Linked DNA regions of Rhinolophus ferrumequinum. Each later gene encodes a partner of the first gene's protein in a complex. Links are inferred from orthologs where the notes say so. Each region holds a gene or a part of one and is shown in the gene's direction. Other genes may lie near its edges.

Region 1 (8,514 bases):
GTAACCATCATTTCTTACTTGTTCCATCAGCTCACATACACCACCTGGGAAGAGATTTTTAAAGAAACCTACCAAGCCCATATTTCCTTTTTCTCAAAAGGGAATGATACTTGAATTATCTTCACCAGGGGATCCTATCTCTGAGATGGCTCTCGCCTAAATCCCCATTTATTCAACTGGCCTCATCAACAATATACATCCTGCTCTCCAAGGGCTGCCCAGAAGCCTTTCAGCACAGTCTAACACCCAATTAAAATACAGATAGATCCCAGTAATCCCCTCCCCAATATTAAACAATACCCCCTAAACTCTGAGGCCTTGGCCAGAATACAAACTATAGTAGACGACTTTTAAAAAATCACCTAATTATCCCTAGAACCAGCCCTTGTACAACCCCCATCTTACTTATCTGTAAACCCAATGGAAGAGGGGGGTGATTTGTTCAAGACCTCAGAGCCGTAAATCATACAGTCGTTTTCTGACAGCCCGTGGTTCCTGACCCCCACACCTTGCTCTCCAGTGTTCCCTCTGAAAGCAGATACTTTTCAGCTACTGATCTCTACAGTGCATTTTTCAATAAACTCAGACAGCCAATATTTATTTTTCTACCTTTATGTGGAAAGGCCAACAATTTACTTGGACTGTTCTTCCTCAAGGATACACAGAAAGCCTGACTTATTTCTCCTCAGTCCTTAAGGCTGATTCTAGCCACCATTTCCTTCAGATGTGGGTCCACTTTACTCTAATACATTGATGATTTACTTTTATGTTCTCCTTCTGAAGAGGCTTGCCTCACTGACAGCTTCCATTTACTTTATAACCTAGCTTCCAAAGGACACAAGATTTTTAAAGGGAACTCCAATTTTGTCAAATCTCCATTAAATTCTTAGGACACCTCCTAACTCCAGAAGGATTAAATCTTGATCCATCATGCCACCATGGCATTTTAAACTCCCCCCTCCTTCAAACAAAAATACAACTTCAAGGGTTCTTAGGACTTGCAGGTTATTATTGGAACTGGCTTCTTAAATTTTGCTTCATGTCCCAATTGCTTTATGAACTACTCAAGAATTTCTCTCGTGATCCCCTACAATGGACCTCTGATGCCCAATAATCTTTTGAAAGAATAAAAATCCAGGTTATCTTAGCTGGGACCTTAGGGCATCCAAATTATAACTTCCCTTTTCACCTCTTCTCTCATGAAAGTCAGGGGAATGCTCTAAGGGGTTCTTACTCCGCCTCCTGGAGGGCAGAACAGGCCTATAAGATATGCTAGTCAGCAATTAGATCCAGTCACACGAGAACTTTCCCCTTACCTTAAGGCAGTTGCCACTGTTTACCCGCTGTTTATGTGCTTTGTAAGGCTACTGAGAAGATAACTATGGGATCTCCTTTTACTGTCTGTGTTCCACACTCTGTTGAAATTATCCTTAGTTCCCATCATACTCAAAATCTTCCTGCTAGTTGTCTGGCCAAATATGAAGTCTTCCTTCTGTCTTCACCCTACCTTACTTTCCCTGATGCAACTTACTTACTCCTGCTGCCTTACTTCCTCTTCCAGATGATAACACCCCTCACGACTGTATTACATTGACAGACCAACTCCTTACCCCATGACTGGATCTACAAGGAACCCCACTTCCAAGCATAGACGATGAATGGTTGACTGACGGATCCTATTTAAGGGACCCAATGGCAATTACCAAACTGGATATACCATTGTGTCCCTTAATGAAATCATAGAACCTGGCATTCTACCTGATGCCAATGTCCAACAGGCAGAACTATATGCTCTTACTAAGGCATGTTTATTAGCCAAAGATAAAACTGCAATATCTATACTGACAGCAGATATGTCTTTGGAATAACCCATGACTTTGCAATGCTCCGGAAACAATGAGGTTTCCTGACTTTATCTGGACAGAAAACTAAAAGTAAAGCTATGTCCTGTCATTCCTAGGTGCCACACTGACTCCCCGAGCCTTAGCTATTATTAACATGCAGGGACATTCTTTTGCCCAAAATATGGAGGCACAAGAAAATGAAATGGCCGATACCACCACCGAATCGGCCACTTTACAGGAGATAACCTACGGTATAAAAACTTCATCTGCTCTTGCTTTACTTCCAGTTTCTCACCTATACCAAAGACTAGCTAAATCTCAGACCATTTCTGTGGAGGATGAAAGGGGGAAACATAGTAAACAAGGTTGTTCCTTTCCTTCTTTTTGACACTTATGGGTAGGCCCTAATAACAGTACTGTCTTCCCCAACGGTCTCCGAAAGGAGAGTTTAACCTTCATTCATTAACTCCTTGGAACACTAAGAAAATGGTCCAGTGGGAAAAACAACATTATTGGGCCCTTCACCCACTATTGCCCACCAGATATATCAGATATACAAAATTTGTCCACAATATAACCCTGGGAAACTATTGCATGCCCTCCATTACCAATAGGGACTTTTGAGGTATGGCAGTTAGACTTTATCCAACTCTCTCTCTCATACGGTTATAAATATGTGCTGGTCATGATCTGTTTATTTTTACATTGGGTTGAGGCTTTCCCTTACCATCAAGACATGGCCCTGGCAGTAGCTAAGGCCCTATTAGAAAAAATTATTCTAATATTCAATTTGGGGAATCCCTCAAGACCTTCACACTGACCGAAGGACTCATCCTATTATTCAAAACATTTGTAAAATGAATAATACAAATTCATTTTGAATAAATTATTCAAAACATTTGTAAAATTTGATCTATCTATTGGCATTTCCATTGTGCTTATCATCCTCAACCCTCTGGATTGTAGAACAAACCAACAGAATAATAAAGACCCAACTGGCAAAAATTTACACAGCATTTAGTCTGCCTGGCCCAAGGCCCTCCCTTTGGTCCTCCTTAACCTTCATTCTACCCCCACTGGAAAACATAAACTTTCCCCTTTTGAGATTATCACAGGTTGTCCTATGAACCTAGATGAAGGACTGCACTGGCTGGTACTTATCAAAGGTGATCACCTACATTACTGCAAGGAGTTTATCAACACCCTACAAAATAACACTAACCTTGTTAAAGAGTCTTTCAACAGTGTGCTTCTGGAAGACAGAGGAGTGCTCTGATAGCCTCAAGCAGGGGGAATTTGTGTATTGGAAAAGACACCAACTCAAAGACTCTTCAGCCCCACTGGAAAGTGCTTTATCAGGTACTTATGACAAATCCATGTGCTGTTAACTTACAAGAAGTTGACTCATAGATTCACATTTCTCATTTAAAAAAGGTCCCAGACCCTGTTGCTGAATGGGCTTCCCAGCCCATCAATGAAACCAAACTCCAATTAACCAAAAGCCAGGCAACAGGATGAGAAGAAGCAGATAACCATTCCCAAGAAACTGGACCCGGCCTGTAACACATCAGTCCTTACAGAGATTCTTAACTTGAGTTTCTTGTCTTTATCTTTTGCTGATCTTTGTTTATAAGGCTACCCTGTATTTTAGGGAAGATTATCAACATGATAACAAATCCAGTTGTTCTCCTTTTTTTTACTCCCTCATTTCTCTAATGCTTGGAAAGATAATATTTTAGTAAAATTCTCTCACAGTGCTGCTAAGGGAGGAAATTTAACTGGTTATTGGATATGTCATCAAATCCCTAAATCAATAAAAGAACAATACTTGTCATTAGTTGCTCCAGTTACCAATTTTAATACTGTTCCCAATGTCACTGTCTTCCCAGACCAACCCATATCCAACTTCACCTTTCAGGTAGACATTATTCAAAAACCAGAGACATCTATCCCCTGCTTATCATTATGCATTGCCCCTGTCATCTCCACTGAATTTCTCTAAATGTCTACGTGACAAAATTGAAAAGAAAGATATAAACAAATTATGTAAACTTGTTCCTTCCATTGGATACGACCCCAATGAATTTTGTAAAGCACGTAAACAGTCTTATCCTTTGTTGGAAAAATTCTCTCAATTGTGCCTATGAATGAATCCACAAAGGAGAGTTCAGGGAGGACAGTTCATTTTATTTTCGGTATAGGAGAAGATTCCCGACTAAAGGATGGGCACATCAATGTTTAAACAGTTGGCAAATGGAAGGACTCTGCCTGTTGGAGCAATTTGTCACTTCTTTACCCATTCATAAGCACCACCCCCCCTTCCATAAGACAAATTATTTTAACAATGAACTATTTCAATAGGACCAAAGGCATATCATGGGACCCAAAGGGGAAGTGCTGGCCAGTTATGATGACAATATAGGACAAGGTAAACTTGGCATACTAAGCCCGAGTGCCAGAATATATTCAATAGGAATATGATTAGGAATTTGTCTGCCACCATGGGAATATTCAGCCAAAGAAAAGGTTGAGTATTGCTGCCCAGCAAAAGTTCCTAGATTCCCTTGCTCATGTGGTCCTTGACAATTGCATAGCCCTTGATTACTTGCTGACCAAGACGGGTCCGAAAAAGAGGATTCCGCTGGTATTTCAAAGGTATGTTAACCTAGATGCACAAGAAGAATGGACAGGATTTGTTTAAACCTTTTACTGATACTAAAAAAGTTATATTGCCTGGGGCATTACCTATCCAGTTAGGAATTTATGATAAGATCACTCTCTGAGGTTACCTTCTATCACTGGACTTGTCAGTTTTAGTACAGAATCCCCTTTCGTCCACAAAAGAAACAACTCAAAACCACCATCATCCCCATTTTACTGACAAGGGCACTGAGGTCTAGAGAAAGGGAAAACATTATCAGAAGTCACAATGAGAGCTAGGGACTCAAGTTCCGGTCCGCTAACTCCCCTCCGCGCTCTTCATCAACTCCTCAGGAAGCCCAGGAAGCGGCAGAGTCGGGTTCCTGGATTTCTGGGTGCTCCCTAGAGGTAGGTACCTGCAAACCAACCGGCATCACGCCACCGCACTCTGGGCCAGCAGGGGGCACTGCTGCCATCTCCATTAGCACAGACTGGATCGCCTTGCGGTGCTCACCGTCCCTCCGCTCACGGAGGCACTTCCGGCACCGCGGAACTTTGGTGCCGGCGGACGCGCTGCGTGGGGACGCAGGCGCGCAAGGCGGCAGGAGTCGCTTCCGGCCTTGTCGGTGGTCTGAATTGAGCTGTGGCGGCGCCGGGAAGATGGAGACGATTCTGGAGCAGCAACGGCGATATCACGAGGAGAAGGAACGGCTCATGGACGTCATGGCCAAAGAGATGCTCACTAAGAAGTCCACGGTGAGTGGGGCCTGGGCAGGGGCTCCATCTGCGGCTGGGCCCCATCCCCGTGTGTACTGTCTGAGAGCTTTCTGTGAGCCGCAGACCCGCCCCGCGCCACCCCCCTCACCCCCGCCGCCTCCTGGGTCTCCCTCTCCGGTCTTGGTAACCTCCTCCGATGTCCAGCGCCCCTAGGCCTCTCTGCTTTAGCCGCTAAGACCTGAGCGGGTAAGCTCCGCCTTCGGGCGGCCTATCCAACTCCAAAACTCCGACTAACGGCGTCTGTGTCACCGTTTGCCTTTCTTTAGCTCCGGGACCAGATCAATTCTGACCACCGCACACGGGCCATGCAAGATGTGAGTGCCTCGCTGTCCTCTTCTCTTTGGGTCGGGATGAGCTGAGAAAGAGAAGGAAGGCGAGGTGTGGGGGGTCTCACGAGCCCTGGTCAAAAAGAACAAGATTGGCCAGCCCCGGGTTATCTGTCCAGGCGGCTGCTAAGCCTGAAGATGCTGAACTGCCCTTTCTCACTCATCTTAATGGGGAATTCTTACTGATTCTTAATAACTCAGAAAGGCGCCCCTTGCAGCATCCTATCCCATGAATGTGCAAAAAATAGTTATAAGGAGTCAGTGACTGGCGCTGAAGGTCCGGTCTTCTCTCCACAAGAGGATGCATCGTGGTGAAGTATTTTTGCCTACGTTGTGTGATTTGCTTAGTAATAGTTTGATTCCTTTTAGAAAACTAATCAAAATCAAAGTGTTGGTTTTCATGACAGCTGAGTGATAGGTAGATGGAGGTTCGTTATACCCAGCTCTCTACTCTTGCATATGTTGGAAATTTGTTTAGAAAGTAATAAAACACCTAATCAGAGTTCCTGATTTGTAGGAGATAATTAGTATGACAAGCCTGTAGTTCCATATCCAAATTCCGAAATACTCTGAAAACAGTTCATTGTTTGTTGGTTTGTTTGTTTTGGTATTACTTGGCAATATCTAACTTGATCTCATTTGGCAGCAAAACCTGACCTGAACAGATGAGAGAGGCTTTTTATGGCCTTTATCCCTCTTGGTAAATAATGCGTGGGTTTCACTGCAGAACTATTACTATTTGTTCCAGATTCCACTAGGGATTTTACATAATATATAGTATCTTTCTGAACCTGAAAATTCCAAATTCTGAAACAAATCTGTCCCAGAAGTTTTGGAGAAGGCACTATGTATCTGTTCCGTCCTGAATTAGAATTCAAAGGAGGCTGTGTGATGTTTTATTTAGCCTGTACACTCCTCAGTCAAGCTCTTTGAAGTAGTGAAAAATCATCTTGGGCTACCCTTTTATCTTTGAAGGTCTTAGATGGCAACTGCTGCTTAACCTATGGCTCGCTTTTATGACTCTTCTAGGGAAAATTAAGTATCAGTTAAATATCAGCATGTAAATACAGGGACTCTGCCACCCCTCAAATTACATCACTTAGGTAGTCTTCAAATCTTTAAAAACTAACCAGGATGCAGTGCTATGTATTAAAATTACTTAATACCACATTGCTCATGGTTTTCCTGTTCTTTGATTAGAGAGCCCTCGTTGGTTGCTTAGCTCTGTAGTTGTACAGATTGCTTCGTTCTCATGGGTTTGTGTTTGCCTTTCAGAGGTATATGGAAGTCAGTGGGAACCTGAGGGATTTATATGACGATAAGGATGGGTAAGTGACAGTCATGGCCAGACCAAGAGTTAACGCTTCTGAGGAGCCATAGTTAAAAGACTGATTTTATGCTTTATGTTCTTTGGATTTTTCCTGAAATTGCAGGTTACGAAAAGAGGAGCTCAATGCCATTTCAGGACCCAATGAGTTTGCTGAATTCTATAATAGACTCAAGCAAATAAAGGAATTCCACCGGAAGCACCCAAATGAGGTATGACCTCAAAAAAAATTTTCTCCAAACCTGCCTAAGAGCCTACTAAAGGAAAGGTTTAAGGAAAAGGGAACTAAATTAAGTGACTCATTTGGTTTTTTTAAAGGAGGGTACAGCTCACAGTGGCCCATGTGGGAATCGAACTGGCAACCTTGGTGTTATTAGCACCACGCTCTAACCAACTGAGCTAACCGCTCACCCCAAGAGACTCATTTAAAAAAATAATAATAATAAAATTATAAAAAAGAAAAAAATGGAGATGTGCCACTCACATGTCCCTTCAAAAAAGAACTTGCTATTAAGCTGCAAGGAGCGTAGTTAGTCAACATCTTGCAACTCCAGTTCTTTGAAGCTCCCTCTCAGATTTAAGCCCATTCTCTTTCTGGGCAGCCCCAAACCAGTGATGAAGCACCATGAGCATACTATAGCCTGGCTATTTCTACCCAATGTGAGACTCTTCTTAAGAATATTCTTTGCTCCAGAGCTCCCCATTGGGATGGTCAAGGTGTTGTCCTATCTGTATTGTGGCCTAGGCTCTCCCTGCCTAATCCTCCTCACCGTTTTATCTTTCATGGGGGTTATGCACACACACACAGCCCCCCCCCCAAAAAAAATAACTGCTTGTGCTCCTGACTGTCTTGAAATCTGATACCTAGAGGATCCAACTAACACAAAGAGGCTTTACTCACTTCCAGTGATCGTTGCATCTTCAAGATTCAGCCCAGAGGCCAACTCCCATGAAATATGTTTCCTAGTCTTACTGCCCGCAATTAATCTTTCCTTTCTTTATGATCCTATCATATCTTATGACAATGAACAAGTGCCCCACAATGTTATAAGATTATAAGGAGCAGGGATTGTGTCTCAATTATCTAGAATCCATTAAGCATCTTGCACAGCTAACCAAAGGAATTTGCAGCCGGGGGGTGGGAGGGTACAAGTCGTGGCTATAGGAGAAGTGGACAGGGATGGGTCAGCAATTACTCTGAGTTTTCATGACTGCGTAACTGGAAAATTGTTTATTCCCTTGATAGAAATAAGGAAGAAAGAGATAACCCATCCGCAGTAGAAATTGAATTTTTATATGTGTAGACTTTCAGGTGCTGTTGTATCTAGGTAGAAGTGTCCCCTGAGCGGTTGAAATTAGGTGACTAGGGCTCAGGCAAGAGGGAAAAGCTCACGATTTAGATTTGAGAATTATCACATGGACTCAATGGTTGAAGCCATGAATCATGGAATTGTGGGAGAGATGCAGTGTGAAGGGAGATTGTTAGAGCTTCTCTTGTGTCTTGGGGCACACGCACAGTAATGTACTTGAATGAAAAGGAGCCTGGGAAGACTTCCATCACAGAGGTCAAGTGACAGCTCCGGGTAGTGTTATCTTACTG
Region 2 (8,128 bases), on another chromosome or scaffold:
TTCTAAAAACAATACTTCTGACAGCATGTAACTGAGAACCCATTTTAATCCCAAAATTTAAGTTATTTTCAAGTCACAAAGCTCCCAAATATTTTATTATTTTCCTTACTCTGGGTAAAAATTACATCTTTTCTCTCCTAAGGATATAACATTTTAGAGATAACTTGGTAAAAGTACCAGATTACAAGACAGCCTTTTAGCAGTTGATTAAACTAGAGCTCAAAGAACTTTCATTTTCTACATTCTAAGTAATCCTGAAGTGACTTATGGATCCGATATAAACTAATACCCTAATTAGTTTTATAGGGCATCAGCCTCCCATCCAGAATTAAAGAATTGGGATTAAAATTCATAGAATTGTTTTGATTTTTTTAGAGGGAGTGGTCTTTTTTTTAAACAGATTTTCCTTGTCAGGACTAACCTTACAAATAGGCCCCAATATCCACAATTTCTTTCACACTGCCTATTGTTGTACCAGAAATGTTACTACAGAAGTTTGCATTTCTTTGGAGAGGGTCCTCAATATGAAGAGAGTTGGGACACATGAAGAACAAATCTTGTATACTTCTCAATTTTGCTCTGGGTTTGTCCTGATCTACAAGGTCAGACAATTAAGTTCATGAACTCATCCTAGAAAAAGTGCTACATACCTCATTGCTAATATCACTACAGTCACTGTGGGGACAGAGCCAGGAGTGCAGTTTCCAGGCTCTCGGCCTCACGTGGAAAGGTGCTGGCTCAGGTAGTAAATGGCCATCAACTCTGATTGGATGGCCATCAGCTGTGGCTAGTTGGCCGTCAGCTGTAACCAGTGAGCCACTGGCCACTAATATAACTGCCGTGGCTACGCTAGCAGAAAATGGGGGCTAGCAAGAAGATGGTGGCTGAGTTAGCAAGCGCGGATTGCAGTTAGCACGGAGGATTGCAGTTAGCAAGTGGGGTGGGTTGGCAGAGAGAAGTGGACGGCAGGCTGTGGATCATGTGTCTCCTGCTTCCTGTGTCTCCAACCCAGCCTCCAGTGAGACTGTAGTGGTAAGACTCCCCTATCTATGGCTCCGTGGGTGTTCCTTTTTGGCCTCACCATATCCTGCGTTCTTGTGCGCGGAGTGAGAGCTGAGACCCTGCATGATAGTCACCTTCAAAGTACTCCCCCTGGGAAGCTATGCACCGACACCAGCGCCTAGTCCACTCTTCAAAGTAATTTTGGAGCTGTCTTTCTGGAATGGACATCAGAGCTGTCGTTGTATTACCCTTGATGTCCTGAATGTCATCAACGTGTCTTCCTTTCAATATTTCCTTTATCTTCGGGTAAAGAAGTCACCGGGGGCCAGATCAGGTGAGTAGGGAGGGTGTTCCAATACAGTTATTTATTTCCTGGCTAAAAACTCCCTCACAGACAGTGCTGTGTGAGCTGGTGCATTGTCATGATGCAAGAGCCATGAATTATTGGCGAAAAGGAACTTTTTCGCGCGTGCAGCCTTTTCGGCACTTCCAAATAGTACAATTGGTTAACTGTTTGTCCAGTTGGTACAAATTCATAATGAATAATCCCTCTAATATCTAAAAAAGGTTAGCAACATTTTGCAACAAGTTCGCAAACTTAATTGTCAGACCTCATAAGACTGGGAATAATGGACCATAATAATATGCTATAAAGCAGGAAAACAAAGTCACAAACTTAGATACAACCAAAACGTCCAATGGGGAAGTGTTTGTCATTGAAGTTGAAAGTGCCACAAAATATTTAACTGGCATAGCTACTGAAAATAGCAAATTTGGGTTTAAGAATTTCTGCAGTTACGACTTGAGGTCAGGGATCCATCAATCTTTTTGTCAAAAGGAGTTACTTTTCTTTCCACTCAGTCTTGACATTGAAGGAAGTGGGAACAGGAAAATTCCCAAATAGAGTTAGCTTGAATAGGCCATTAAAAAAAATGTCATTTGGTATAGCTCAGTAATTTTCCAGAAAGAGTTCCTAGACCAGGTAGGTGACTTCTCTGGCCAAGAAGTCTTTGCTTTTGTAAGTTAATGTATTTTTATTTACCAGGAAGGTCACGGCCTATCAAGCCAGGAGTACAATACAGATCACCGCTTACAAAGTTCAGAGAGAGAAGAATGAAGAAGATATTCAAAAAGAAGCTGGCTGTCTGGGTTCCAAGACTGGTTCAGCTTACTGGGTCCAGCTGCTCCTGATGTGGCCCATCTACATTCTGGTCCTGGAATTTCAGGAGCTACCCCCTATCTTTATAATAATAAAGGTCCCCTCTGTTTGCTTGTTACCTTAAGTGTTTCTCTGACTTACAAAAGAATCTTGAAAAAGACAGGTTACAAAGACAGAGACGTTTACAGATTACCTCGGGATTACTAGGGAGTTAATTCTATGAATACACAGGGAAATAAGAACAAACAAGAACCAGGCCTCATAGAGACAATAGCATTGTTTAAAAAAACAATTGTCAGGTCTCATGGTAAAATAGAATGCTATTGTAGCTACAAGTGTGCTTAGCTCCCAACTCCACTGTTATGGTGACTCAGTGACCCTCTGTCCATGTCAGGTTCTCCTCTCACCTCTGGGGAACTTCACAGCAGACCTCTGTTCTGCTAGTCACCTTTCCTACGTGGGCCTCCCTGCTTTTGTGCTCCTCTATGTCCCTGTTTGTTCCATACTCATTCCTCACTGGGAGAGGCTCTTATTGGCTCAGTTCATCAAATTCAGTCTAGAAGGCAGGCTTCTGGAAAGCCTTTGGGCCCGGTTGGCTGGGTCACATGGGATGCAGGCATAAGAAACCTTTTTGACTACTTACTAAAAGGGGCCTGCGGATACAGCAGGCACTCAGAGTGTCATATGCAGTAGGGCTGTGTATCATATTATCACTTATGCTGTGAATTCACTCAGGAATTAAATGGGAACCCAATAACACATTGCTGAAAACAGCTGTATACTATTTTTGGATCCAGGAAGAAATATTTAGCAATGCTTAAATGAGCCTAATAAAACTCATGTTATCTATATTATAAACTGCATGCAAGTTCAGTTCTCCACTAGTTCCCAACACAACAAGAACTTCATAAAAAGAAATGTAATTGAAAAAAAACCCAAGATACTATTTAAAAATCATTGTTATGGTGGAAACCATGTTCACAAAGCTGGTGTTTGGGGAGTGAGAATTTTCTAGAACCTTACTCAACTGCTATGTTTAGAAGCAAAGGAAATAGTAGAAATAATTTCTTCTGGGACTCTTTCCCCCACCCTCAAGTCTGGGTTATGAACTTTATGTTTACATATAATGGGTTTATTATTTTAAAGGAATAAATACTTTTAAATGATTGTTTTGTGACAAATACTGATAAGTATAATCTATATAAACAAAAGCTCTTTGAGGTCTTCAGTAACTTTTGAGTGCAAAGGGGTCTTGAGACCAGAAAGTTTGATAACTGCTGCATCCAGTATTTCAATCCTATCATTTCCCAAGTAAGTGTGTCGCCCTTGAGCTGTGCCTGTCTTGTCGACTGCTGTGTAGCCAGAGCTTACCCAGTATAGTGCCCGGCACTTAGCAAGAGCTCAATAAATGTCCGTCCAATTAAAAATTACAGACTTCTCCATTTTCAGTGATGTGCAATTTCTTAAAAAGTTGTTTAGAGGAAAAACATTGTGTCTTTCTAAAAGAAATAAAAAACAACAAAAAAAGTCGGCCAATAAAGCTGGTGTTTACACTTGGATGTTTATGTTTCAGGTTTCGAGCTTGAGCACCTCTGAATCATGAAGTCCAAGAGGCAGGCAACTAACTGCTGCCCTCTCTCCCTTTCCAGAGTCCATCTGCAGCCTGAAGAAGGTACCACAGAGATAAAGGAGGGGGCTGAGGTTTGGAAAAGGTTAGTCCTTCCACTCTTGCTCCTTCGTTCACTCACTCATTCACTCATTCACATCAGACCCCAAGCTAGGAGCTTACGCCACCAAGATGAAACAGATTCGGCGCCTACCCTAAGCAATCAGAGAAAAAGAAGTAAAGACACATTTCCCACGAGGAGGAGGAGCCTTTGTGCAAAGGAGGTGTGGCCTTTTCTCCGCAAGACAAACCTGTTCCGCCTGCCCCATGCACCCCAAGATGGCGGCGCCCCGACTCCCGCCTGCCAGGTGCGAATATTCACACGCCTTAGGGCTGCCGCTCCGCACCAGCCCTGCCCGCCGCGGCTCCTGCACTCCGCGGCTCTCACCGCCCCGAGGCGACCGGCACGGAAACCGGTGCGTGGTAGCCGCGCGCCCCCTAGTGCCCCGCCCCTGGGCCTCGCGCCGCAGGTCCGCGTCGGCGCTTGTTGACGCCATTATGGGCGTGTCGGCGCGACCCGCGACGTCTCGTCGCGCCATCAATGGCGACTGCGTCAGTCTGAGCGGGCCTCCGTTCTCAAGTCGTTGCCGCCGGACCTGCAGTCGCCTCGACCCGGTGGCGGCGGCGGTGGCGGCGCGCGTGCGCGCTCCCGCCGCGCCCTGGATCGAGCGGCGGCGCCGAGGCCTGGCGGGGCGAGCCAGGTGGGCGGCGGCGCAGCAGAACAGGCAGCTTCGGTCCGCGCGCGTGCGCGCGCGCTCGCGGCGAGCGGGCGGGCGGATCGGGGGGCGGTGCGGCCGCTGTGTGGCCCGACCTCCCGGGGGCTGCTGGGGCGCCACGGGGAGGCGCGCCGGGGGGCGGCAGGGCGCGGGCCGAGAGCTGCAGACCTCATTTTCTCTGTTCTCCTCCAGCCTTATCTTTGCCTCTTCGCTCGCCCGGACCCTGCCCCTGAGCTAAGTCAGCAACATGAGCAGCAACAACTTGGATGGGAAGGACGACTTTGATGAGCAATTGAGAATGCAAGAATTGTACGGAGACACCAAGGACGGAGACACCCTGAAAGATCTCGGCGGAGAAACCAATTCTATCGTGCAGCAGCCAAGTGACACCCCCTACGAGTGGGACCTGGACAAGAAGGCTTGGTTCCCCAAGGTAGGAGTGTGTTACCACCGGTGCCACTGCAGAGCGGGCCCGCCTTGCGGGGCGCTCCTTGTACGTTTTCTTTGCGAGGTCCTGAGTTGGAGCCCCTACGGATAGTGACGCTTTTGTTGTTGTTGGGTCTGTTGCAGAACCAGTGTGTAAAGGAACATATATCTTTAGGGAGATGTCTTAAATGTAATTTAATTCTTAATTTTTTTTCTATGCCTTATTAATTTTATCTGTGAAGGTCACAATTGGTTATTACACTGGTGACTGCTTTTTATTGCAAAAAGGAAAAACACCAAGAGCAAACTTAGTCGCTGTTACTCTCAGGGAGCCAACGTCACTTATCCTAGAAATTCAGGTGTTTAGCTTGTATACTACGTACAAATGCAGCTTCTTGATTAAAAAAAAAACACCTAGCCATTTGTATATCTTTACTGATTGAACTTTGTTTGCACCTCTACTTTCTATTAAATTTTGTCCCTAGACACACTCACTGCTTGAGTCAAAAGTTATACACAGGTGTTCCACTGCGAGGGGGATCAGCGTCCCTAACCCCTGTGTTGTTCAAGGGTCAACCGTATTTCACTTCTGTAGTGGTAGTGCCAGCTAGGGTGCAGATTTGGTTTCTTCAGCCTTCTGAGTACTTTTAACAATAGTCTGATAATAGATTCATTTGCGACTTACCTTTTTATGTTAGGGAGGCTGAGGAATAGGACTAGAGATGCACAGAATATATGGTTGGAGAAGATCTGTGAATATTTATTTAGAGTACTTGGAGAAATCGTTAAGTATTTTATTTCAGCTTGGAAGTAAAATAACTGGTGTTAAACCTGGTTCTGTAAACTTTTCCGTAAAAGTACCCTGTTAATCAAAATCTCATATGGGTGGAAAAAAAGGATACCAATAGCACACTAATTGACTTTCAAGCCTGTAATAACAAACCCTGTCTCCATTGTGTAATTTGTTACTTTAAAAATTATTTATTTCAACTTCTTTCTTTCCTATTGTGTGTGTGTGTGTGTGTTGCATTCCTTCCAAATTTTTACATTTGCCACAGTTGACCCTTTAACAACATGGGTTTGAACTGCGTGGGTCCACTTATACACAGATTTTTTTCATCTTGTATGCAGATAACATAAACTTATGGTATCGATAAATATAGTACAGTACTGTGACTGTATTTTGTCTTACGATTTTCTTAATAACATTTTTTATCCTCTAGGTACTTTATTGTTAGGATACAGTATATAATACATACACAAACTATGTGTTAATTGACAATGTTATCAGTAAGGCTTCTGGTCAACAGTAGGCTATTAGTAAAGTTTTGGGGAGTCAAAAGTTATACACAGATTTTCGTCGGAGTGAGGGGTTTGGCATCCGTAACCCCTGTGTTGTTCAGGGGTCAGCTGTATTTCACTTCTGTACTGGTAGTGCCAGCTAGGGTGCAGATTTGGTTTCTTCAGCCTTCTGAGTACTTTAACAATAGTCTGATAATAGGTTCATTTGTGACTTACCTTTTAGTGTCATGGAGGCTCAGACCTCTTCAAACTTTGAGTTTAAATTTTTCCCATTCCTGTGTGTGTCTAACATTGATTGGTATGAAGATATAACTACATTTCTTTCATTGTGCAATCGTGCTTTTTTCTCCAAAAGCCAGGAGGATAGATGTGAGTTGGATTTGTTCTTAATTTGTTATGACACTAAATGAGAATGTGATTTAATTCACGATAAAGTTAAAACAAGCATTTTGTTTAACTATTGTTGGCCTCATTCTTTATACACCAAATCAAAGTTCCATTCTGTGTGCTCTTTGCATGCAGATATTTAAATATTTAATGTACATACACTTTGTGCATCTATATCGTTAAAGAAAAAAATGATTCTGTTGTTAGATTACTAGTTGACTATAGTTTTTGTTCTGTTTTGTTATCTGGTACTTCCTTTGTTATATGTACTTGTAGCCTTCATCAAGTAGACTGCGGAGAGGTAGTAATTTATAAATGAAACAACTAGAAAATATGCCAGTATCATTTAAAATGCCTTGATAGTAGCTCAGACTTTTGTGTTGATAATCCAAGTACCCGTGTCTGTCTTATTTTTTGAATCATTGTATGCACACTTTTGTATATAAGGTGACTATTCTTCCATTTACACTTTATTACTACAACTATTACCCACTTCTGTATTAAGTTGTATAACTGCATATGCAGTAATTTAACACAGTGTAAACTTTTTGCAGGAGGAAATCATTTTTGAATTTATGTGTGTTGAATTTCTTGTTCAGATAACTGAAGACTTCATTGCTACATATCAGGCCAATTATGGCTTTTCTAATGATGGTGCGTCTAGTTCTACTGCAAATGTGCAGGATGTCAGTGCTAGGCCTGCAGAGGAACCGCCACAAAGAAACACCCCTGAACCCACTGAGTCCAAAAAGAGGGGAGAAAAGAGAAAGGCTGACTCAGGTAAGTGGATTTAGCTTGCAAAACATGAGTGTAAAAATTTTTTAAATGTGAGTGTGTGTGTGTGTGTACAGTTACTTTTTGGAGAATTATAATGGCTTTGAAGGAATCATAGAGATGAGTGTTTTAAATTATTACTTGGGTTCATATGTTGGCTTTCACACTAACTTATTGTGGGCATTGCGTTGGCTGTTTCAGTTTTATGCCTCAGTTGCTTCCTTTGCAAAATAGAGCTATTGTTGGGGTATTGTCAAAAGTTCTGTTTGTAAGGTTATTTTCTTGTACTTTTTGAGTTTAATTAAATTGAACTCATATCAGTTTTGCTTCAGCTTGGCCCTGTCTAACACAGTAGATTGGAGTTGGAAGCAGTTAAATGCCAAGGCCTAAATTCAGTGCAAGGAGGAGTTTTTTTAAGGTAGGATCGGAATCATAACCAAGATAAACCCTCTTTTTTCAGAAAGGGCTCTGAAGCTAATTATCTGTTAAAAGATCCAAATACTTTGAAAGCTGCACAGTGGTTTGAGTTAGTCTGTCTTGTTCTAAGGGTAAGAAAAAGTTCCTGAAAGTTTGGAGAAACTGCCACATTGTCAAGATTTCATGATGTGACTTTTACCTTTTCTTGCATGTGTTTTATTTATTTATTCATTTTGATTTTTAGGATGGTTTCATGTTGAAGAAGACAGAAATACAAAT
Region 3 (7,475 bases), on another chromosome or scaffold:
GTGCAGTCAGAGCTCTGGCCTCAGGTGCTTTACCCCAGGAGGTAGCACCCCCCCAAGGAACAAAGAAGTCCTTTTTCTAAAGGTGGGGCTGTGCAAAGGGATTTGACCTGTTCCTGGAGAAAAGGCCTGAGCCCCGCCTTCCCCAGCCTGGCCAGCAGGGCCTTCTGCCAGGTCCCTGCATCCTGATCCCTAGGGGCAAGACAGGCCTTGGCAGATGGGAGGAGGGGGTGGGGGGCTGGAGTGGGGGGGCCTGGGAGAGCCCTGCCTCCTGTGTGCCCTGGGGTGGTGCCTGGCCCAGAGCAAATCCAGGCTGAAGATGGTGCTCGGTCAGGTTCTTGGAACCGGCTGCCCTGTAACTGCTGCCCTGGCTCCCTTCCCTGCCGGTCAGTGCACGAAGGTGCTGTGCTCACCCCAAACCCCATGTCCCCCCCTCCCTTGTCAGGAGCACAGGGCCCCCTAAAAAGCTGCAAGGCTGACAGTAGCAAAGTCACAGCACGTGGCGAGTCCCTGGTCTGGAACTAAGCAACCGTTCTCAACAGTGCTTCTCTTCCGGACGACTGGGGTCCTTGTGTGGACTTCATACTGACATGCCATATCTGCCCCACAGCAGTTAGCACTGGGGGTCTCCGTCTGTGCCCGCCCTCAGCCCCTAGGCCCTCCTGACCAGGAGATCGATCGGCCACTATTGGCTGCCAGGGAGGGGAGGCCGCATGGCCCTATGGGGAGCGGGTTCTGGTCTCTGTGCAGAGACCCTGTGCTGCTGTGACTGTGGGCAACTTCAGGGAAGCCCAGGGCTGCGAGGGCGCTTTGCTCAGGAAACCTAAGTCGGACGACCCTCCCAGTCAGGAGGAGCCAGCCTTCCCTTCCAGCTATGACTCGTGACTTATTTAAGACCCACTCACCCCTTTATTTATCCGCGCCGTCTGCAGTAGGAGATTTGTTTTCTTGTCCTTTTACCACCACCCGCCACCCCCGCCATCATTCCCATTCAGTCTCAACCTTGACTATTAACTCAGATAGGGCCCTGCCTGCTTTGTGGTTCTGGTAGACTGTCTCAGTTGGGGCGCTGGCGTGGCCTTCTTTCCCTACGGGAATCCCACTGCACTCTGATTTCCATCTCTAGACTGTAATAAAAGACTTGTTTTCACTTGAACCTGGTCTGCTGGCATTTCTTCCTGGTTACCACAGTGAGACCTTAGCCTTGAGGGCCCAAGTGCAGAGGACGGTCACTCCCAACAGGCCCACAGTGCTCCTGAAAGCAGCCGCTGTGACTAGCAGACTGCAAGTGCCCACCTCAGGGAGGCCCAGCCCCTGCAGGGCTTATACCTGACGAGGTCCAGCACCCCAAGGACGGCCCTTTTGATGAACTAAAACCAACCAACTGCGACTCGGACGTGGGCAGAACCCTTTCTGAGGTCCCACGTGCACCCAAGGGAAAGCCCTGTGACGATGGGTGGGATCACGGGCCACCTGAGGATCCCATCACACCCCCGCCTCCATCCTACCTTAGGGCCTGTGAGCACCAGAGGCCCCAGGGGCCAGCCTCCCTGACTTGCCAGGCTCTGGGTTCTGGGTCTCCTCCCCTCTATTTGGGCAGCCCAGCCCCTTCTTCCCAGGCACTTAAACCTCAGGCCTGGAAAGGACCTGTCCCCCAGGAGCCTTACTTCCCTCAGGGGCCAGCTCCAACGGCCTGGGACCACCAGCCTGTGGAGGATCCATGTTCCTCTCTGCATTCACTGCACCACCAACCCATGTGGAAAAAAGAGGTACCTTTATTTGAACAGAATAGGCACACGGGCCCAAGGGCAAAAGCTCCCAGCTCTGCCCAGCGGCCTCCAGCCAGGGCCGGCCCTCGCCCTCAGCAGGACAGTTCACAGCCCCGTGCCCTTCACAGCATCGTCCAGCTTCATGCATTCAGCCTGCACAGAGCAGGAGCTTCGGGCCTCCCTCGCCAGGCCCTGGAGGGATGTGCCCGCGGGGCCAGACACAACACTCCCCGGCAGCAGCATGTGGCACCAAGAGGTGCCGGACCAGTCTGGTGGGTCCCAAGGCACAGCCCCTGCCCACTCTCAGCAGCCTGGGGCCTCTGGAGTCTTGAAGCCGAAACACCTCACTCCATAAATCCAGGTCCCTGGGAGGGGGGGGGGGGCTCCTCAAAACTGGTGAGTGTGAGGAGCCTGATCGTGGACTCATGCCTTCAAGCCACTCAGCTGGAACCGGGCCTCTTCCGATATGCCGAACTGCTCCAGGGGGTCCTGTGGGGTGGACAGCATAGCGTGAGCCCCAGGCCACGAGCCACCCCCGTCCCGAGCCGTGTGCCCCATGCCCACCTTGCCGGTCATCTTCTGGATCTCATTCCTATAGAAGATGAGGCTCCGGCGCATGAACTCGTAGCTGGAGAAGAAAGTGGCCTGTGTTCACAGGGCTGGCTCTACCTCCACCCCAGGCCCCCTGGGCCGCCCATGCCCCACCTGGCTCGACGAAGAGCCCCCATCCACTCCTGACACTGCTCCTCGCTACAGCACTCAAAGTGGTACTTCCTCTCCGGGTCCTCGATGAAGCCTGCAGAGGGAGGGGCCCCGTGTGTCCCTGCTCACTCCCACCCCCACCAACCACAGGCTTCAGCTGTCTGTTGCCACTGTCCACAACTGTCCCCTCCAGCCCAGGCTCCTCGCTTCCCACCGGCTGTGGGTTGACCTGTGTCCCCCAAAAGGGTAGGTTCAAGGCCTAGCTCCCAGAATCTGGGAACAGGGTCATTGCAGATTAATTAAGGTGAGGTCATGCTGGAGTGCGGTGGACTCCTAATCCAATAGGATTGGTGTCCTTACAAAAAGGGGGAATTGACAGACACACAGGGAAAAGGCCAAGAAGACGATGGACGCAGAGCGGGGTGATGCGTCTACAAGCCAAAGAATGCCAGAAGCTGCCAAGCCTCCAGAAACTGGGAGAGCCTGGGACAAATTATCCTCAGAATTAACCAGTCCTACCGACACCCCAACCTGAACTTCTGCCCTCAAGCAGTGAGAGAAGTAAGTTTCTGCTGTTGAAGCCCCCCCCCCCCCCCCGTCTGTGGCAGCCCCAGGACACTAGAAGTTCCGGCCTTCCCTGAAAACTCCATCCTCTCAAAGAGACCCAGAAGAATCCTCCGGGGTCCCATGCACAAAGCCCGGCACTGAAAATGGGTAAATACAGCAAGCATTGACCCGAGGGCTATGCTCCCCAAGAGAAGACAAAGCCCTTGTGGCCTTGCGGTGGCAGCTAGGGAGGGGCTGGGACGGATGCGCACAGCCTGCACCACAGGGAAGGAGCCCAGCCCTGAACTTTGTTCCTGGGAAGGGACGGGGCAGGGCGGAGTTGGGGGTCATGGCCGGCCTGGCCCCACCCCCCGCACTCACTGATGGAGAAGCCGCTGGGCTCTTCCTGGGTGATTCTGCAGTGCTCCAGCAGCAGGGCTCCAACGGGCTGGGGGCAGACGGGGCGAATGGGCGGGCCACCCTAGGACCCCAGCCCCCAGCCCGGGACCCGCCTCCCCGCCGCCCTACCTCTGCCTCATCCGTCCGGAAGTAGAAGAGGAAATTAACCACCAGCTTCACCAGTCGTCGCTTCACCACTGCGGACACAGGGCGGGCTCGCGAGGGCTGGCGGCCGCCCAACCCGCCGCTGCCCGCCCGCCCCGACCCTCGGCCCTGGCCTGCTCACCGCTGCCCTTCTTGGGACCCCGCATGCCCAGCTCGGCCGCCAGCTCGGCCGGCTGCCTGGACAGCGCCTGCAGCTCCTTCTCGTTGTAGCGCATGGCGCCCCGAGGCCCAGAACGTAGAGTACCGGCCGCGCCCTACCGGCCGTTGTCCCCGCTCACGCCAAAAATGTCCCAGGGCACGTCCCGGAAGTTCTCCCAGAGCTACTGCGCCGGCGCGCCCCAGGGCTGCCCATCCTGTCAATCACCGGCGAAGGGCGCTGGCGTCCCGGGGGCAGCAGAGATCGAGTGGAGCCCTCGTGGGGCCCACGGGAAAGTCAAAGACAGACTGTTATATGTATCATGCAGTGTTAGGCCCAGGATAGAAAAAATAAAACACCCCTACGACCCGTGGCACCCAAATGGGCAAGAATAGGCGGAAGGTCTGGGTACAAGTCGCTGCCCTCCTTCCCGCGAGAACTGGGTCCTGCGAGTAAAACCGACCGAGAGGTCATTGAGAGCCTGTTGGGCATGCGCACTTCAGCTTCCAGCCTGCACGGAGTCCCGCTCCCTTTCCTGGCACCTACAGAGCTGCTCATTCGCGCTATCGGCTGGGCCGGACATGCGCACATGGGAGGCCCGCCCCGTTTGCCCCGGAAGTGCATTCTTAGCCCGCGGGGCGCGTTCGCGGGACGAAGTCGTGGCGGCAGTGGAGACTGAAAAGGCAACGGGATCGCTGCATCCGGTGCAGGTGTAAAGCGGAGCGAGAGCGGCGGCCCCGGAGCCCGGAGTTCCCTAGGAGATAGCAGACGTGAGCGAGGGGCGCCTGCGACGGGGGCGCAGGCTGAGGGCGGGCCGCCGCGTCGCCTCCTCCCCGGGGAATGACGGGCCTCTGGGTCCCCGGAGCCCTCCGCTCGCTTGGGATTCTCCAAAGACCCATTGGGATTGGGTCGGGGTAGCAGCTCGCATGGCGCCTTCCGTGTAACCGAGGACCCCTCCGAGCATTAATTTGCATCCGTTAGTTGACAGACTCTGTGGTACGGGAGTCACTCGGTTCCTCTTCGCCTCAGTTTCTGTAACTGGAATGGGGGTAACAGCGATCGCCAGTTCCAGGGCAACTAAATAATACATAAGGTCCTGGAGTAGAGTGCCCAGCGCCGTGCCGAAGGCCACCAGAGCCAGTTAGCTGGCTGCATTTCGCCAGCGAAGCCCCGAGGTTAAATGACTTTCCACCACTCATACTGCTATGCGCGGTCGGCTTCTTTCTTCTACCCATTGGCCTTGCAGAACGTGCGAGAGGAGCTCCCGATAATAAACTGTCTGCCAGGTTTAAGGAGATAATAGTATGTTCATCAAAAGCTGGCATTCATCCCTGCTCGGTCCTCTGCCCCGGAGGCCGCCTCTGCTCAATTTTTAAAGCCGTCTTTATCTCCGTAAACATTCTTTCTGGATGTGCTGGTGTCAGACGCGACCTGCTGATTTCTTACGTGATTGATGAGGTCGTATTTCTGCCTCCCACCCACTCCCACTTCACCCTCCTACCCTGGATGCGTTTATATATCGCAAGCTTTAGTCAAATTATTAGTTCTGTTTTCTGAGACTGAAAGTATCCTTCGTGGCTAAGGCAAGTAACAAGTTCATCTGTGCGGCTTTTCCTGTACTGTTCTCCCCCAACCACTACCCCGAAGCTAATGAATGTTTTCATTTTTCCTGTTACCCTGATTTTCTTTTCCTCCTGTTAATTTTTCCTCAAAGTTCCATCACCTCAAACGGTGATAGACTGTATTTTTCCACAGGTTTAGAGGACTTGGTCCTTTTTTTAAAAAAAAATTCCGCCATAGAAATGTCTCTCCCAAATGCTGACATACTCCTGCTTCACTTTGTTCTGGTTGCTCACCTTACAGAGAAGCAGTTGTCCTAGAACGTTCTGTCAGTGCTCTCGGGTTGGCTTGTTTCCAGTCTGACTATCTCCTCTTCCTCCTATCGGCCCATCAATCGCAGGGTAGCTTTTGAAGAAATTGATTGATGGACTGATTGATTGATTTTGAGCCCTTTGAGTCCTGAAAATGGCTTTATTTACTTACACTCACAGTTCGGATATAAAATGAAAACTCGGGGTTAAAAATCTACGTTGAGAACTGTGGGAGTATTGCTTCTCTTACATGCTCAGTTCTGAGAGCTCTGGCCCCATTCTGCTTTCTAACCTTTCGCTTCTGATCTTCTGTTTGTGCAAATGGAAGATTTTCCTCATTGGTGTGCAGTTTCATGATCCATTTATTGAGAGTCTTTTTGTTTCTATTGCAAGGAATAGGTCCTTTCAGCCCTGGGGCATTTTCTTTCAGTGTTTTGATAATGCTTTTGTGTTAGCTCTCTGATAATATTTATTTCTTTGATAAGACTCTCTGTGTTTCTGTCTGTTTTCACTCTGGAATTTCATCAAGGTTCTTGCACTGCCTCATATGTTTTCCTTTTTCTCTTGTTTTCCTTATGAGATATGTCTTTGACTCTTACCTCCGAGCCCTCATATTCAATTTTTTGTTTGGATCACCCTGTCTTCTTTCCCAGGGTTCGTTGCGGTTTTAATTCACTGTGCTAACCCTTGGCAAGGTGTTGGCACCGTCTATTGAGGTTTCCATCAGGTTTATTTTTTTCTCAGCTGTATAGAGATTCTTTTTGTCTGTTACGTGAAGTTGCCACCTCTGTGTGTGAGAGCTGTCTGTGCTTCTCATCTGATGGGTCTCACTGCTCAGTTGGCCTGGCAGGGAGCTGGTATTTTATTTGGGGCACGAGGGACCCCTACTGTCAGTGTCTGAGAATACTTTCCCTGGCGCTCCTTCCCCAGAAAAGTCTCCTGAAGTCCTCCCTAAGCTGGGGGCCTCTGACCGGGGCCACCTGCCTTTGGACATGGTGCAGGGAAGGGCAGACTGCCTGCTGGTCAGTGGGCAGCTTTTGATGAAATCCCCTCTTCAACCTGGCCCTCACCCACAGCCTCTCTGTGCCTGGCTCCCAGGCCAGAGGCCCCTCATTCCAGTTCTTAGAATCAAACTGATCTGCCCAGGAGCCCAGATACCTGTGGAAAGACCTTCATCCCAGGCTGTGAGCTCTCAGTTCATTTGGGGTGGGGGTGCTGCTAGGGGAGGAGGGACAACACGGGAGCAATGGGCTTTGAGTAACCAGCAGTTTTGGTTTCCAGTGGTTACTGGTTTTGCCCTGATTGGTGAGCGGTTGAGTATTTATGTGGGCTTAGATTTCCCTAAGTCAATCATATTGTCTGGACAGGGGCTTTTCCCAACCCCGGCCAGCCACTGGCAACATAGGAGCTTATTCTGGCCATTTAGGATGGAGGGATGACGGGATGGGGGGGGGGTGGCAGGAGTGCGGGGTGAGAGACAAACATTGGGGGGCATGGTCTCCTTGCCTGCCCGTCCACCAATCCCGGGGAGGCCCCAGTGACAGCCACCAGGTTCTCACTGCCTCTCCCCTTTGCTCTCCAGGTTTCTCCCCAGTCCAATAAAACCCCAAGGCCCTCACCATGGACTTCCAGCATCGCCCCGGGGGCAAGACCGGGAGTGGAGGGGTGGCCTCCTCCTCGGAGAGCAACCGGGACCGCAGGGAGCGTCTCCGGCAGCTGGCTCTGGAGACCATTGACATAAACAAGGTGAGGTAGGGCTGGAGGGGGCTCCCCACAGCCTCCTTTCTTCCCGGGGACCCGTGGTCCCGACATCACACCGCTACCCTTGAGCAACCACCCAGCTCTCTGGGCCTCGGCTTCCTCACCTGTAAACGGGGGACTTGGGCCGGA
Region 4 (7,677 bases), on another chromosome or scaffold:
CTTTTCCCCTGCGGCCCATGCAGCCTGTTTCTTGTCCATCTTTAGAGTCTATGGACATCTGAAGACAGAGATTTGGATGAACCATCCATGGCCCCTGACTCAGAAGGTGGAGAAGTGACACTGCCCCAGCCCGTCCTCTGGCTCATTGCACGCCTCGGGGGTTCTCCTCTCTGGCACCTGCCGTCAGAGCCAGCCCTCTCTTCAGAGCCAGGCAGCCCTGTGGACGCTGAGTACTGGTCCCTCCCCACCCTGTGCATTTCTCAGCATCAGAAAGTGCTTCCTTGCACCACAGCCCCTCCTGGCAAGGGCCGTTGGGCAATATTTAGACCATGGCCCCTTGGGCCCACAGTAAGTCCAGGACTGACCATGACACCTCTCTTCCTCCAACCTATTTCTACCCCCCAATCTCTCTCATCTCAGAAAATGGCACCCCCACTGAGCGCACCTGGGCACTTCCTTGAGTCCCCTTCCTTTACTTCCACATCCAGTACCAAGTGCTGCCAATCCCATGTCCAAAGCATGCTGAGAACCCAGCACTTCTGTCCATCAACACTGCTCCACACTCACCATCTCCCCAGACCACTACCACAGCCTCCAAGGGGTCACCCTCTTCCCTTTGCCCAGCACCACCTCTCACATTCTATATATGAAGCCAGAGTGATTATTTAAAAAGGCAACTCCTACCCCAGCTAGAACCCCTGAATGGCTTTCTACAACATAAAGACTGGACTGCTTCCCTAGGCTCGAGCCCTGGGTGGTCTGCCCCGACCTCAGCTTCTCCCCACCTACAATTTGCGCCCCCCACCCCCATACTTCCTCTGGATAAGATACCTCCCTCAGTTCCCCAGGCCAGGTAAAGTCCCGTTACACATTCTCAGAGTATCCTGTTCTTTTCTATCCCAGCACTCACCACACCAGCACTGAATCATTATTTGAGTAATTATTTGTGAGGGGCAGTCTGTCTCCCTGCAAGCGCATGGACTGTCTTTTGAGTTCACTGGGGTATCACCTGGCCACCTGGGCCAAGGGGCCCGAGGGCCAGCCTGTGCCCACAGGTGCTGGGACACTCAGAGGTACCCAGGGGTAGCTCCCGAGGGCTGAGCTGGCCTCTCTGGCCTCCCAGAGTACTGTGCCCTGTTCTCACCTCTGTGTAGGTGACTGCCTATGGAGCTGGATGTCTGCACGGGCGCCTGCCCAACTCTCGGACCAGCCTAAGGCTCAGGGTCAGAGGCTCATCCAGGTACCTGGCTTCCTGTCTCCAGTGCAGGGCTGGCCCCAAACAGCTCTTGGGTCCCTGGGAATGGATGAAGGCAAAAGTGAATGAGCGATCACTCAGGGAGAGCTTATTGGAGGACAGGGAGGAGGCTGTCCCAGAAGAAGGAGAGTGTTCCCGGCTGGATGAATGGGGTGAGGGAAAAGGCAGGTGGGGTCACCTGAGTTGAAACTGCACATAGACAGCATCCGTCAACCGTGCTAGTTCTGACCACAGGACCTACTGTGTACCACTTCCCTACTGTGTACCACTTCCCTACTGTGTGCCACTTTCTTTATACAGATGAGAAAACTGAGGCTCTGGAAAGTTAGGAGGTTAGCCTAAATTCACTCAGGGAGCTGGGATTCTTGAGTCCAACATCTCTGTTGTCCTCAGGCCATGCTGCTGCTGGAGCAGCACTGTCCAAAGGAAATATAATGAAGCCACATATGGGATTTCCAATTTTCTACTGGCCACATTAAAAAAGTAAAAAAAGAAAGAAAGAAAGAAAGAAAACAGCTAAATTAATTTTAATATTTTATTTAAATATTATCATTTCAACATGAAATCAATATAAAGTCATTAAGGGGATTAAAAAATTTTTTTTTAATTTTTATTTTGTTTTGCATTGAGTCTCAAAATTCAGTGTCCATTTGACACTTACAGCATATCTGAGTGTGGATCAGCCACCATTTTCAAATGTGCCACCACATGAGCTGGTGGCCACGGTATTGCACAGTGTAGGTGTAGAGGGCCAGATCCTGTGTGTTCATTCAGCAAACGGTGACTGAGTACCTACTATATCCTGGGCACTGTGTCAAGAATAGGGATAGAGCAAGGCACATGGAGCCCTGTCCACGAGGAACCATCATCTATATCTGAGGGTCTCTTCAGGGAGCGAATCATGGGTGTGTCAGCTCTATCAGTCTCACCCACAGGGCCCTGAGTATCTACCCCACAACACACACACACGCACACACACACACACACACACACGCACGCACACAGGCCCATATCCCATACATATATGTTGCCGTGGTGACTGCCTCTAGTGAGATATTGCCACCCATGAGATTTTATGTCCCCAAGAAATGAGGCAGAAACAGACAGAAAAAAACAGACTGAAACATCCTGGTTTTCCTTTTTGGAAAGGGAGGATGGGAATAAATAAAGCAAGCAAGAAACCCTACCCTGGAAGGAGGCGCTGGAACTCAGGAGCTTGCTTATGAAGACACCAAGAAACACTGACCTGTTCACCCTCAAATAACTCTATCTGCCATCTGAGGCCATCTAAGATACCAACTCCTGTTAGATTCCAGTTCTGATAAGCACCAGCAAATGCCAAAGAAGCAAGAATATGTAAGACGAAACTGCGACATTAAAAAATAGCCAAGTTTACCTGTCAATTCTTCTGAACATTGGGGATTTGCAGATATCAGCATGGTTTGAGAACCACTTAGGTGTGTGTCAAGTGTAGGAGCATTTGACATCAGCTTTCTAATTCCTGGCTGAGTGAAACTCTGTCTGAAGCTGCCAGCCCTGCACAGTTCCTGAGGTCACATAGGTGATGGTACTAATTGAGCCGACACTGCCCTGAGGTAGGAGGGGCAGCTAACTGCCTTTCCTCAGTTCCCTTAAGCTCAAGGTAGACTTCTCATTCACAGAGAAGGGAGGGAGCCTTTCCTCCATTCCCATTCAACATTCGAGCCTCTTCCCTCTCTGAGCCCTAGGACCCTACCCCTCTGGTAAAGATTATGCCTACCTCCCCACCAATGCACCTGCTGAGATTCAAGGTCACCACCATGAAAACCCCTGGAAAACCATGTATATGGCAATTGTCAGTCTCTGACTCAGGACTGTGAATTGCCTGGATCCCTGGGGACACTGAAAAAACCGTGTGAAGACAAAGGAATAAGTAACTGTACTAGTAAAGGAGTAAGAATGGCCTGGGTTTGGGTTCCCACTCCACCAACGCTGAGCTTCACTGTCCTCATCTGAAAAGAAGTTGCTATAAGAAATAATTGTTGTCATGCATGCAGTGTTTGGCACAGGGTTTGGCTCATGGTAAATGTTCAATAAATTCTAGATATCATTATGATTCTACATTAATAATAAACAACAATGACATAAAACAGCTATGAGGTGTGTGTGCGAGAGAGCATGAGAGACAGGGAGGAGACTTGGGAGGGCATCTCTTCCTATCATGCCCCCATTTCACAGGTGAGGAAACTGAAGTCCAGACAAGGCCTCAGAGCTGGCCCGCATTCAGGAGTTGGAAAGGAGGGGAGAGGGTACGGGGAGGAGAGAAAGCAAAAAGGGCGGGATTCAAGTAGTGCCTCAGGGAAGCGAGGAAAGTAGCCTACAGGGAGGTACAAGGGGGAGCGAGGGGGTGAAATCTGAAGCAGCTGCCCCAATTTGACACAGTCCGTGGGACTTGAGGGCGGGACTGAGGAAGGCAGGGAGTGAATCTAGAAAAGGCGGACCCACGGGAAAAGGGACCAGAGATAGTTACAGCTTGGGACTTGGGAGGGTGCTTTGGGGGAGGTGGGCCTGAAGCGAAAGAGGGGGATAAAGCAGAAAGGAAGTGGGGCTTTGAAGAGGAGGGCCCGAGGGGGTTTTCCAAAGTGAGAGACCAATTGGAGGGAGCTGGGGCCTTGAAAGGCGGGGTCGGAGGAAGCGAGGAAATGGCCAGTGGAGTAAAGGAAAGGTGTGCCAGTGGAGTAAATGGGGAGGCGTCCGGCAGGTGATGTAGATAGAACGTCTCACCCGTCTCCGGCGTCGCAGCCTCAGCCCCTGTGTCTGGTCGGCTCATAGAACTGACTGGCATGCCAGCCACTTCTGTGAAACCCGGCAAACTCTAGCCGTGTGCCCCGACCGTTGCCATGGCAACGGCGTCTCGCAGGGCGACTCCCATGGAAATTACGTCACGGTGAAGGGGCGGGTCCGGAAGTGCGTCAGCCTTGTCTCCTCGGCGGCGACTCTTTCGGCCGCCGCCATCTTGCGGGGTCGTCGTACTCGCGCTGCGGGCACCGTTTTGACGCAGCGCTGCTCACCTACACCGAGGCGGACTGGCAACCCTGAGCGTCGCAGTCATGCCGGCTGGACCTGTGCAGGCGGTGCCCCCGCCGCCGCCTGTGGTCACCGAGCCCAAACAGGTACCGTGCCCCCTTCACCTCAACCGCCAGCCCGAGCCTAGGCCTGGGCGCTCCTCACTTTTGCAGGAAGAAGCGGCCGCCTAGGCGGGCTTCGAGGGACTGCAAGTCCCAGGAGGCAACGCGCTGCCCTCCAGTAGCGAGCCGAGCTCTGGGACAGTGATTCTCCAAGCGTGGTCTGCGGACCAGCTGCGTCAGCATCACCTGGGAGTTTATTAGAAATGCGGAGTCTCCACCCCAGGTCTTTTAATAGGAATCTTCATTTTAACAAGATCCCAAGGCGATTCATTAAAATTTGAGAAACATTGTTCCAGCCCATCCACCGGTTTTCTGTGGCAATTGGACCCACCGGCTCCCAGCCTTTGCCCAGTTACCCCTGATTTCCCAGCCTGCGGGGTACAGCTCTGAATGTTAATTCTCAGCATCTACTCGGTGCTTAGCCTAAACCAGACACCGTGCCAGGCTTCCAAGTTACTGGAATGAGTGAGGCACAACTCCTCCCTTAGGGAGCTCACAGGCTAGTGGGGATACAGATATACTTAATTCCTCAACAAATGGTTAGTGCCCCATCACTGTAAATAACAGAGTGGAACTTAAAAACATCTCAGGTAACCGAGGAAGAAAGACGTACATAAACAGTTGCAGTATGTTGTGATTTGCCCTATAACAAATTTCAGGTACAAGAGAGACAGTAATCTAATGACCATTGCTTTGACCGGGTGGAGGGGAGATTAAAGTAGGTGAAGCCCACAGGCGTGCGAGGTAAATTGCTTTTAGAAGGATGAATAGGAGTTCAGCAGGGAGGTGATTGGGGGAGGGAAATGGCATTATTTATTCATTCAGCAAACGTTTATTGAGCACATATTGTGTGCTGACCACTGCTTTGGGTTCAGACTACAGTGGGGAACATGACAGAAGAGGTCCATACCCTTTTTTTCCCCACATTTAATTTTTTTTTTAATTAAAGTTTATTGGGGTGACAATGGTTAGTAAAGTTACATAGGTTTCAAGTGTAAAATTCTGTAATACATCATCTCTATATCCCATTGTGTGTTCACCACCCAGAGTCAGTTCTCCTTCCATCACCATATATTTGATAGGTCCATACCCTTTCCACAAATATTTAGGCACCTGTGTGTCCTGGCATTTTCCCAGTCGCTGGGGAAAAATAAAGTGATACCACGTAAGTGCAAAGACAGCAAGATAGGAATCAGATGGTGCCTCTGGTGAAAGGTAAATAAGTGTGGTTGAAGCACAGTGTTGGGGAAGCGGTGGCAGGAGATGCGGTTCAGAGGATTTGAACTTCAAGTAGACAATGGGGAGAAAAGGATTTTAAGCAGGATAATGACACATTCATGTTTCAGAAATTCAGGTATATAAGCAGTGATACAAAGAACTTCGCAAGGAGGATGGAGGATTCGTCATTTTATTTAAAAAAAATGCTGAGGGCCTGGCTACATTGGGGGTGAGCAGAGGGTCTGGCAAGCTCATGTCACAAAACGGCTTGTAGTACAGGCTCTCCAGCCGAAGTGGTATGTTGGAAATCTGGTTCTGCTGCCATCTGGGCCAGTTAAGCGCTCCATTCCTCAGTTTTGTCATCTGTAAAATGGAGATAATTAAAGTATTTACCTCACAGGGTTCTCATAAGGGTTATAAGAGTTAATATAGTTAAAGTGCTTAAAAAAGCATATGGCACCTACTCTGCTCGATAAATGTTACTGTCACTGAATGTGGAGGTTGAAGAAGGGGTAGGAGGCCCAAGTTTCTGGCCTGGTTGACCAGGTGCCTGCTTGGCCATTCATGAGGAAGGAGGATAGAGTTGAAAGTACCTAGGAGCCAAGTGGATCTAAAGCTCTAGCACACAAGTGATTCGGGACATTCATTTGGGCGGGATTGTTCAGCCTAGAGGTGGTAGGGGAAATGGAGGATGTGGTTGTGAGTTCTGGCCTGAGGACAGTGTGAATACCGGGAAGAGAATCAAGAACAGAGTTTTGGGGGTGCCCATTATAGCGCAGGAGGGGAACCAGAAACCAGGAAGGACTGGGATGGAATGCTGAGCAAGAAGGAAAGACAGGCGAGAACAGGGTTTGGGAGTTGAGTGGAGAGTTTTGTGAAGGAGTGGTCATTGATCACGTGGTCGGGTAACTGCTTAGTGGGCTGTGTGTAGGTAGTTGCTTTTGACTTTGGCAAGAGCATTTCAAATGGATGGGGACCAAATGGGAGGTGAGGAAGTGGGAACAGTAAGGCTGTGAAAACTCAGGATGTTTAGCTAGCGGAGGAAGGCGGGGGAGAAGGCCGCAGCAGAAAGGAACATGAGGTCAGGGGAGAAACTATTTTTCTGAGACTTGACACTTTGTTTACTAAAGGAAGACTGGTGAGGAAAGAATATTGCAATGTATTGATAATGAATGTTGAGTATTCCAGTGGAGTTTCACAAAACATTTTGAGCATTGAGTGGTGAAGACTATGGGTGGATACAGAGGAGAGGGTATTCAGTGCAGAAGGAGCAGCCAGCAAGGAGTGTCCTGTTTCTTCATTGGGCAAACAATCGCTATATAGCCGTCCCTTGGTGTGGGGCTTTCTAGATTCTGGAACATGGTTTCTCAGAATGTGGTCAGAGCTCTCTGCATCTGAATCACCTGGCCTCTTGGTAAAAATACAGATTCCCGGTGTTACTGAGATGGTCTAGCTAGGGGAGCCAGGGAAGCTGCTTTTTATTACTAGTTCCCTAGGAGGGTCCCATGTAAGCACAATGCAGTTAAGAGAACCACTCTTCTGAAGAAGAGGGTTCTAACCCAAAGGAAGTTTGCAGGAGAAGGTCTAATGCTCTCAGAAATATGCTAGAAGGGTTTAACCTGGGGGGAGGGAGAAGGGAGAGGGTGGTCCAGCCTCAAATCATGAACTTTGAGACCTCAATTCCTTTTTTCTTTTTCACAGCCCACAGAGGAAGAAGCATCTTCAAAGGAGGATTCTACCCCTTCCAAGCCAGTGGTGGGGATTATTTACCCTCCTCCAGAAGTCAGGAATATCGTTGACAAGACTGCTAGCTTTGTGGCCAGGTAACATAGCTACTTCTGCTCATGTGGCTCACGCGTGGATTTTAGCCCCAAGCGCTCCTGAATTCGTACAGGGCAACACTGGGTTTTTAGAGAGCCGTTGTTGGCATAGGCCCATTAGCTCATCCAAAACCGCAACATGGAGCTGAGGTAGGCAGCTGGCAGGCCTGACATCTCTAACACAGTGCAGCAGTGGCACATTGTGAGTCACACCCAG

The links.
Region 2: SF3A3 (region 1) and HTATSF1 share a complex: the UniProt entries of both Homo sapiens proteins name them as parts of the 17S U2 SnRNP complex. The link is inferred for Rhinolophus ferrumequinum from reciprocal best matches to the Homo sapiens genes SF3A3 and HTATSF1.
Region 3: SF3A3 (region 1) and SF3A2 share a complex: the UniProt entries of both Homo sapiens proteins name them as parts of the SF3A subcomplex of the 17S U2 SnRNP complex. The link is inferred for Rhinolophus ferrumequinum from reciprocal best matches to the Homo sapiens genes SF3A3 and SF3A2.
Region 4: the proteins of SF3A3 (region 1) and SF3A1 are in contact, whole or in part, in an NMR structure (PDB 2DT7), measured with the Homo sapiens proteins. The link is inferred for Rhinolophus ferrumequinum from reciprocal best matches to the Homo sapiens genes SF3A3 and SF3A1. Residues at the interface, in NP_006793.1 of Homo sapiens: Glu80, Phe81, Glu83, Phe84, Tyr85, Arg87, Leu88, Ile91, Lys92, His95; in NP_005868.1 of Homo sapiens: Ala161, Phe162, Asp165, Val166, Leu169, Thr170, Phe173, Asn177, Phe181, Gln184, Leu185, Lys188, Phe195.

The regions. Positions count from the first base shown.
Region 1 is NC_046292.1:26,530,151-26,538,664, reverse strand, and holds the start of SF3A3 (splicing factor 3A subunit 3), read left to right. Parts: upstream 1-5,047; 5' UTR 5,048-5,144; coding exon 5,145-5,240; intron 5,241-5,527; coding exon 5,528-5,575; intron 5,576-6,862; coding exon 6,863-6,915; intron 6,916-7,020; coding exon 7,021-7,126; intron 7,127-8,514. UniProt on the Homo sapiens protein: Component of the 17S U2 SnRNP complex of the spliceosome, a large ribonucleoprotein complex that removes introns from transcribed pre-mRNAs.
Region 2 is NC_046284.1:19,784,799-19,792,926, reverse strand, and holds the start of HTATSF1 (HIV Tat-specific factor 1), read left to right. Parts: upstream 1-4,790; coding exon 4,791-4,976; intron 4,977-7,257; coding exon 7,258-7,438; intron 7,439-8,093; coding exon 8,094-8,128. UniProt on the Homo sapiens protein: Component of the 17S U2 SnRNP complex of the spliceosome, a large ribonucleoprotein complex that removes introns from transcribed pre-mRNAs.
Region 3 is NC_046301.1:61,018,755-61,026,229, reverse strand, and holds the start of SF3A2 (splicing factor 3A subunit 2), read left to right. Parts: upstream 1-4,330; 5' UTR 4,331-4,484; intron 4,485-7,167; 5' UTR 7,168-7,205; coding exon 7,206-7,331; intron 7,332-7,475. Other genes in the region: PLEKHJ1 (pleckstrin homology domain-containing family J member 1), read right to left, coding at 2,190-2,255, 2,331-2,394, 2,472-2,562, 3,396-3,462, 3,543-3,610, 3,700-3,793. UniProt on the Homo sapiens protein: Component of the 17S U2 SnRNP complex of the spliceosome, a large ribonucleoprotein complex that removes introns from transcribed pre-mRNAs.
Region 4 is NC_046308.1:19,547,484-19,555,160, reverse strand, and holds the start of SF3A1 (splicing factor 3A subunit 1), read left to right. Parts: upstream 1-4,244; 5' UTR 4,245-4,344; coding exon 4,345-4,407; intron 4,408-7,341; coding exon 7,342-7,463; intron 7,464-7,677. Other genes in the region: CCDC157 (coiled-coil domain-containing protein 157), read right to left, coding at 4,019-4,079. UniProt on the Homo sapiens protein: Component of the 17S U2 SnRNP complex of the spliceosome, a large ribonucleoprotein complex that removes introns from transcribed pre-mRNAs.